2 linked regions of the Macaca mulatta genome follow. The protein of the gene in region 1 purifies or fractionates together with the protein of each later gene. This does not show direct contact. Links are inferred from orthologs where the notes say so. Each region holds a gene or a part of one and is shown on either strand. Other genes may lie near its edges.

Evidence for each region. Proteins that work in one complex are often made in the same cells at the same time.
Region 2: the proteins of PFDN6 (region 1) and PFDN1 purify together in Homo sapiens (affinity purification with mass spectrometry; 6 studies listed by BioGRID and IntAct, with this or other methods). This does not show direct contact. The link is inferred for Macaca mulatta from reciprocal best matches to the Homo sapiens genes PFDN6 and PFDN1.

What each region holds. Positions count from the first base shown.
Region 1 is NC_133409.1:148,998,987-149,002,361, reverse strand, and holds PFDN6 (prefoldin subunit 6), read left to right. Parts: upstream 1-1,508; 5' UTR 1,509-1,538; exon of another isoform or gene 1,539-1,751; 5' UTR 1,752-1,766; coding exon 1,767-1,830; intron 1,831-2,057; coding exon 2,058-2,128; intron 2,129-2,209; coding exon 2,210-2,334; intron 2,335-2,594; coding exon 2,595-2,724; 3' UTR 2,725-2,807; downstream 2,808-3,375. Other genes in the region: WDR46 (WD repeat-containing protein 46), read right to left, coding at 55-142, 265-377, 521-601, 705-914, 1,012-1,089. UniProt on the Homo sapiens protein: Binds specifically to cytosolic chaperonin (c-CPN) and transfers target proteins to it. Binds to nascent polypeptide chain and promotes folding in an environment in which there are many competing pathways for nonnative proteins.
Region 2 is NC_133411.1:149,161,797-149,166,042, forward strand, and holds the start of PFDN1 (prefoldin subunit 1), read right to left. Parts: upstream 2,826-4,246; 5' UTR 2,801-2,825; coding exon 2,768-2,800; intron 21-2,767; coding exon 1-20. UniProt on the Homo sapiens protein: Binds specifically to cytosolic chaperonin (c-CPN) and transfers target proteins to it. Binds to nascent polypeptide chain and promotes folding in an environment in which there are many competing pathways for nonnative proteins.

The DNA.
Region 1 (3,375 bases):
TCTTGTCCTGCACCACCAATCAATCCCTTGGCTCCTTTACCTCCTCAGGCTCACCTTGGCTGCACTTGCAATGTCCACAGCCTCCACAATGTCAGCCTGGCATATCTTTGCTGTGTCTTCCCCATCCTCCCCTTCCAGAAACCTGAAAGCAAGGGTTAGGATAGCAGTAAAGTTTCCCAATATGAAGCAAGTGTACCAACATAAAAACGAGAAAAGACAGTCCTATAAGGCAAGGATTGGGGGTCCAGATTAGGGCCCACTCACCCCGGTTCCTCAGCAAGCAGCAGCTCAGAACGAGCAGCTTTGATACTTGTTTCCTCTTCCTCAGCTTCAGCCACCTCAAGTCGGCTTCGAGTTTTGGCTTTAGAACGTGGTAGCTATAACATTGTTGGTGGGGAGGAGTGGCAGAAGAACCATAGGATAAGTGGGGTCACAGGAGAGCTACCTAGCCCAGCCTCCATTCAACTCACCCAGACACTCCCTGCCTCCAACACTTCCCAACTCTCCGGCTGGACCTCACCTTTCGGGATTTGTCAATACGACAGAACTTCTGGACCACCTCCACAGGGACGGGGGCGGGGCCTGGGAATGGATCTTGGGCCTAGGGGAAAGGAGAACGCAGTTAGTAGACAGCCTTGGGTTGACCCCAACCCTTTCAAAGCACAAGGCGGCCTGCCTCGCCACCCATTAGGTTCCACGTTCACCCCGGACAAGCTCCGCTGGGACTCCGGGTTCTTCCACTCTCGGGGTTTCTTCGGGACCTGAGGCTGCTTAGAGATCCGAGACTTCTTTAATATGTGAGCATTTTTTGGTCTCTGAGGACGGAGCTCCCGATTCTTCTTGTTACAAGGAGGCCCTGGAGAGGCTCCGTCTGTGGTCGGAACAGTCTCTTCCTCCCAGTATCGCCGCGGTTTCTACAAGCAGATCAGGAACTCTGATACTCCGCACCCACGCCCCGCCCCCCCGACCCCGCAGCAAAAAACTTCCTTTCCCACCCAGGGAGGCCGATACCTTTCTCTTGGTCTGAAGTTTGTCTTTCTTGGGCGGGACATCCCTGCCCGGCTTGGGGGCTGTCTCCATCTCGCCCATCCGAACGGCGATCCACGTGCAAAACTCCTCTCAGCTGCCCCACAGTCGGCTTGAAAACTCCCGGAAGCCCTCTATCCTTCATCCAATCAGTAGCGTACCAGGTCTGAAGCTCTCTAGGCGCCATCTTGAGTGAGGGCACACTCTCCTTAGAGGGGCGGAAGAGCTCTTGGCACCTTATCGGGAGCGGCAGCTTATGCAAGAGTGACTTACAAAAGAAAGGCAGGCCCGGGACCAGGGGCTAAGTAGCGGTGCGGTTTCTTTTTCCGGGTTAGTTTCCCCATCTTGCCTAAAAATATCCGAGTCCAGTCTTTGTAGCAGAACTCCATTCGCTAAACATGTCAGAACTACACTTCCCATCAAGGGTCAGAAAGAAACTTCCGGCGCAGTCTTTTCCCGGCATTCCTCGTTTACTTCCGGGTTTATTACTACTGAAAGCAGAACGTGAATAGGTTAGGATTTCGGTTGAGAGGCTTACGGTCTTGCGTTTCGCCCACCATATCCTGGGGACGGGGTGGAGTCGATACCCAGGACCGGGGGGAGGTGGCGGTGCCCCTCAGGGCTGCCTCTCAAGAGTGCTATCATTTCCGCAGGCGAGATCAGAAAAGTGAGCTCAGGTACCTTCCAGAGAGTGAGACGCAGCGCCCTTGTCTCGCTCCCCGTAGGCTTTCATCCCCGCCATGGCGGAGCTGATCCAGAAGAAGCTGCAGGGAGAAGTGGAGAAATATCAACAGCTACAGAAGGGTAAGGGAGCAGGGTCGGTATGGCCTCGCCCAATGCACTCACAACCCAAAGCCATTACCGAGATAAGGTTTGTTGCCCCATCTGGGCCCTTGCGTGCAGAGACTTTCCCGCTTCAGTACTCTTCCCTATTCACTGACCCGCTGCCCCCATCTTTTTCTGCTTCCTCAGATCCATATCCACCTGACTAGGATTGATGTTTCTAATCTTGCCTTTCCTCTTATCCCCAGACTTGAGTAAATCCATGTCGGGGAGGCAGAAACTTGAAGCACAACTAACAGAAAATAATATCGTGAAAGAGGTGAGGGACTGGGATTTGTGGGGCGAGGAGGGACCTGTACTAGCCATGGTTCTGATCACGTATGTCCCATCCCTCCATCAGGAACTGGCCCTGCTGGATGGGTCCAACGTGGTCTTTAAACTTCTGGGTCCGGTGCTAGTCAAACAGGAGCTGGGGGAGGCTCGGGCCACAGTAGGGAAGAGGCTGGACTATATCACAGCTGAAATGTGAGTCTTTATTCCACCACTGTGTGCTGCACCCTGTGATGCAGTGAACCATTGGAGTAGAGGTGTTGAACCATTGCAGAACAGCTCTCCATAGTGGCCCCTAGTCCTCCAGTTCCTCCAACCCCTTCCTTCCCTTTTAACCCCCCTTCTCCCTTCCCTAATCTCAAGTTTTCCACCTATCTCTTTCTTGCGTTTAGCACCCTCCTTAGTAAGTCCTACTAATTTCTCCCTTTCTACTTGTCTCCCTTGTCTCTCTTTAGTAAGCGATATGAATCCCAGCTCCGGGATCTTGAGCGGCAGTCAGAGCAACAGAGGGAGACCCTTGCTCAGCTGCAGCAGGAGTTCCAGCGGGCCCAGGCGGCAAAGGCAGGGGCTCCTGGCAAGGCCTGACCCCTTGGTGGGGGGAGGGGAGGGGAGGGAATGAGGCAGCTCTAGCATCTATACTGTAGCTAATAAAATGTAAAAACACCTGGCTCCGTTTCCTGACCAGGCGCTTCTGTCATATCCCCACAGTCCCTTCCACCTTCACACACACCACCTGTATTACCCCCTCAGGTTCAAACTCTTGCACTTGGAACTTCTTTGTGGCACGATGTTCTTTCTTTCTTGAAAGTGAAATCCTAAATGTCCTCAAACCTACTTCTTGCCTGTATATACAACCCTTAACTTTCCCTCATCTTGGTTGGCATGATTATTTTGGAAGGGCATTTACAACATAGCGTATTACTAGGAATGTCAGTTCAATTGAAAAAGAATTCACAGTTCTCTAACCTGAGGCCCCAGGATGAAATGTGGTTACCCTCTTTGCCAGCAGCCCTGGCATCTCTATTGGTACTTTTCAGCCTCTGTCTTCCTAGAATTTGCTTGAATGTAGCTTAAACTGACTTAAAATCCCAGCACGTAATGCTTTGTAGTGTATAAGTCCTCCCAAGTTTATATGTTGTCCATAAAGTTGTTCTGCCATTTCCTTGTCCTAAAATTGTTTTATACACATTTGCAGCAAGGGACCAGTGGTAGAGAGGTTACTGAAGAAAAATTGTT
Region 2 (4,246 bases), on another chromosome or scaffold:
GCTTGAAGCTCTGTGAAGGCCTAATAAAAACAAGTCCATGATTTAGTAGGTTAAACATTTTACAGGAAACATTTATGTCAAATCCAAATATATTAAAACAAAACATGCTAGCCAGAGACAAAGTTGTGAAATTTACCAAATATCAATAAGTCAACATAATTGTAAACGATCAAGTCACTATACTAAATACTGAATTTACAATCATCAGAAGATACAAACAGTGTGAAGCAAAACAAATGCACATTAAATAATAACCATATTAAGAAGTATTCAAGGAGTAGTAAAAGAAATAAACGCAATAGTCAAGGATGAAACCCAGAGATTCAAAACAAGAACCATAAAAGTAATAACTCACTACATTTGTATTGCACAATTAGGTTTCAAAGCACTTTCTCACATTAGTTTGAAATATTAATATGGGAATATTAATATAAGAATATTAATGAGGAAATATAATATCTAATTTATGCCTCTCAATAATGCCATGAGTTAGCATTGGCAGTTTCATCATCCACAATTTACAAATTAAGTAACTAAATGAGTTAAGAGATAAAAGTGGCTTGCACAAGTTTGAACAACTATTAGAGGGAAAGGGAGGTGTATTTAAAGACATTTCTTCTAACCCCTTAGTTTAGCAATCTTTCCATTCCACTGTCTATAGTAATATTCATAATATGAACATTTTTAAGAGGAAGACCAAAAAGATAGAAAAAATGCAAAGCACTGGCAAAATAATTGCATCAGGCCAAATTTGACCCTTGCGTACACTTAGTTAACTGGAAAATAAACAGTTCTTGGATACTCTTGTTGAAGTGCCTGGAATGACTTTCATATGCTGTCAAATTGGTGCCTTAATAATTTGTGACTGCAATGTACAGCAAAGGTTACTACATAATTTTTATTGTGACCTTGTTTTCACCTACTAGTAAGATTTTGAAAGATTTACTTTGGAGAAGGGGAGGGGCCTGAAATGTCCTATTTGTCTCCACCCAAAAAACGGACCCTGTAACAACATTAGAAGATAAAACCTTTAAACAAGTTTTTAAATTAATCATTTGTCAAAATTATTCAGTTTAAGTTTGTAATCATTTTCTTAGTTTGCATTCACTGTCCACATTTTTCAAATGTAGCAACAAATTCAAAAGTACCAGGAGGAAAATCCATTCACTAAACCCTGATTTAAATCGGTACTTTTAATTTAAAAAAAGGTAAATTTTTAGAATGCACAATTTTGTTTTGAAATGTAAAATTTCAGGTATTATCTGACTGCTCTGTACAGCTTGCTAAGGAAGCTAGTATACCGTTAAAGATGAGCTAGTACACCGTTAAAGATGAGGGAATTCCACCTAAGAGCTAAATTTACAAGATTCAAGACAAGAACAAAAGCAAGACACAAACACATAATATCCTCAGAACCATAACAAAAGCTTCATTTGTTAGAAGCAACAGCTATTTCGGCTGTCCTATTTCTTTTGCACAAGTTGACCAGAGAGACAGTCTTAACTAAGATGTTGCTCATCTGAAGAATCCAAAATAGTGGTCAAAAAAGTGTGAGGTAGCCGGGCGCGGTGGCTTACGCCTGTAATCCCAACACTTTGGGAAGCCGAGGCGGGCAGATCACGAGGTCAGGAGATCGAGACCATCCTGGCTAACACGGTGAAACCCCGTCTCTACCAAAAATACAAAAAATTAGCCGGGCGAGGTGGCGGGCGCCTGTAGTCCCAGCTACTCTGGAGGCTGAAGCAGGAGAATGGCATGAACCCGGGAGGCGGAGCTTGCAGTGAGCCGAGATCGCGCCACTGCACTCCAGCCTGCGCCACTAGCGAGACTCTGTCTCAAAAAAAAAAAAAAAACAAAAAAGGTGTGAGGTAAGACAGAGAATACTGGATTCTAGTCCCAACCTCTGACAGACTCTTCTAGCACTGGTTCCTTTTCTAGAAAAGTAGATTTAAAATAGATAAATTCTAGAGTCCTTTCCAATCCACCCCACCGCACAAAGCATACTGGTTTGGGGTCATTAGTGGTGTTAGAATGCTGATCATTCTTAGACAGCAAAAATATGAGTAACAACACATTATAAGCAACTGAGGAAAGCAGGAAACCCAATTCCTTCTGATACCGGTTTTATTTGGAAAACTTTACTGGTTTTGTTGTTTTTTTGACAAGTCCTTCAAAAGAAGGTTTTGTTTTGTTTGTTTTTTTTTTTTTTTTTTTTTTTTTTTTGACAAGTCCTTAAAAAGAAGGGGAGGGCCCAAATCTTGAAATGAACATTGCTGTTACAATGCCTGGTTTTCCGAACTGTAGATACCGCAACCTTTCAAGGTATAGAACCGAATAAACGGCCTAAAAACAAAGGTTGGACTTGGAGTTTTTCAAAGCAAATGAGGCAGAATTACGGATGCCACAACTCAGGCAAGGGGTCCGAAGGCACCCCCATTTGAAATGCTCTCTTTGGTTCTTACTATGAAAGTGAGTCCCTGAAGCCTCCAAACGCAACGAAAGCTCTCTAGAGCTCAGAAAGACTGCACAGGCCCGAGATAGGCCCGCAGACTTACCTCACCCAAACCGGCTCCTACCCAGCAAGAGCCGCTCGCCCCCCACCCCAGTTTACGGAGACGCAGTGCGGCCTTAGGACTCTGGAAAACCATTCCCTAGTCCACTGGACCCTCCTTCCTTATGCAAGGCTCGTGCCTCACTCGATATTCTTGCCTATAGTCCCCTCAGCCTCCAAAGAGAAGGCCTCCGCCTGCCCAAGACCCTCTTTTACCTTCTTCAACTCAAGATCCACGGGGGCAGCCATGTTGGTGTATGCGCCTGCGCAGTGGGAGTTGGCCTGAAAGAGGGTGGGGGAAGGGCGCGCCTCACTTTGTGCATCCGTCCTTCTTCTGCGCCTGCGCATGAGTTGGACTAACCGGGCTTCCTACCTTTCTATGAGAATTGATTAACCCCTGAAATATTTGGGTTTCGGATTCAGTGTCTCCACTATCTGACCGGTCAGGTCTGGCTTGCTCCTCCACATCTTCCAGACATAGCCCAACGCGCAGATTTCCCATGTGGCTTTAAGCAGTTTGCCAGCTAGCTTAGTATATGCTGCTAAACTGGGATGTATGTAGATGAGGTCAAACCCTCATCAGTCGATCAGAATCCTTCAGCTAGTCGCTGTGCTGTCAGGGATCAGTAAGAATAAGTCCAGAACCTCAGGCATGACAGTTTGGGAAAGACTACCGGAAAGCTTGTCTGGAGTGTTCTTTCCAAGACGAACTTACTACTTCCAAAAGCTTCCCAAAGACTTTCTAGGCACAGTGGTTCAAAAGAGAGGCTGAATACGTTTGTTTAAAAAAAAAAAAAATGCAGGTTCTCTGGGTCTCATCTCAAACTTACTCAGAATCTTTGAGAATGGGGTCTGGAAATTTGCACTTTTGCAAACTCTCCCAGTGAGCTAATGGTGCAACTCCTCTGCGGATCACTTTTTTGAGAATCTCTGCCATAAAAGGACCTGGCATTTGAACCAGAAGAATAGATAATAATTGACTTTTGGAAATGGAAAAAAAGAAATGTTTACCTACTCTAAAAACTGTTATGCTAAGAGAAAGTGCTACATAAACAATTAGGAAATTTATTTTATTTTTTTTTTAAAAAGAGAGTGAAAGAAAGAAAGAAAAAGAAAGAGAAAGAGAGAGAAACAAAACAAACTGTTAGGGAGATGAAAGGGCAGGGAATTTGGAACCAGCCTGATCCAGATTCAAGGCTTGGTCCACCTTTAGCTTATGTCTGGTTCCATTTACTAATTGTGTGACTTTGAGCAAGTCACTTGGATATTTTGTGGTTTTGGTTTTTTGTTTTGTTTTTTGGTACGTTTGCTTGTTTGTTTGTTTTTTGAGACAGGATCTTGCTTTGTCACCCAGGCTAGAGTGCGGTGGTGCAATCGCCGCTCACTCCAGCCTCTACCTCCCGTGCTCAAGCAATCCTCCCACCTCAGCCTCCTGAGTAGCTGGGACTGCAGGCACGCGCCACCCACACCCAGCTAATTTTTGGATTTTTCGTAGAGACAGGTTTTCACCTTGTTGCCGAAGCTAGTCTCAAACTCCTGAGCTCAAACAATTCGCTCGCCTTGGTCGCCCAAAGTGCTGTAGTGCTGTGATTACAGGCTTGAGCCACCGCGCCCGGCCCTTTTTTTTTTTTTTTTTTTTTTTTTTTTTTTTTTTTTTTTTTTTTTAGCCAGGGTCTCGCTCTGTCACCCAGGCTG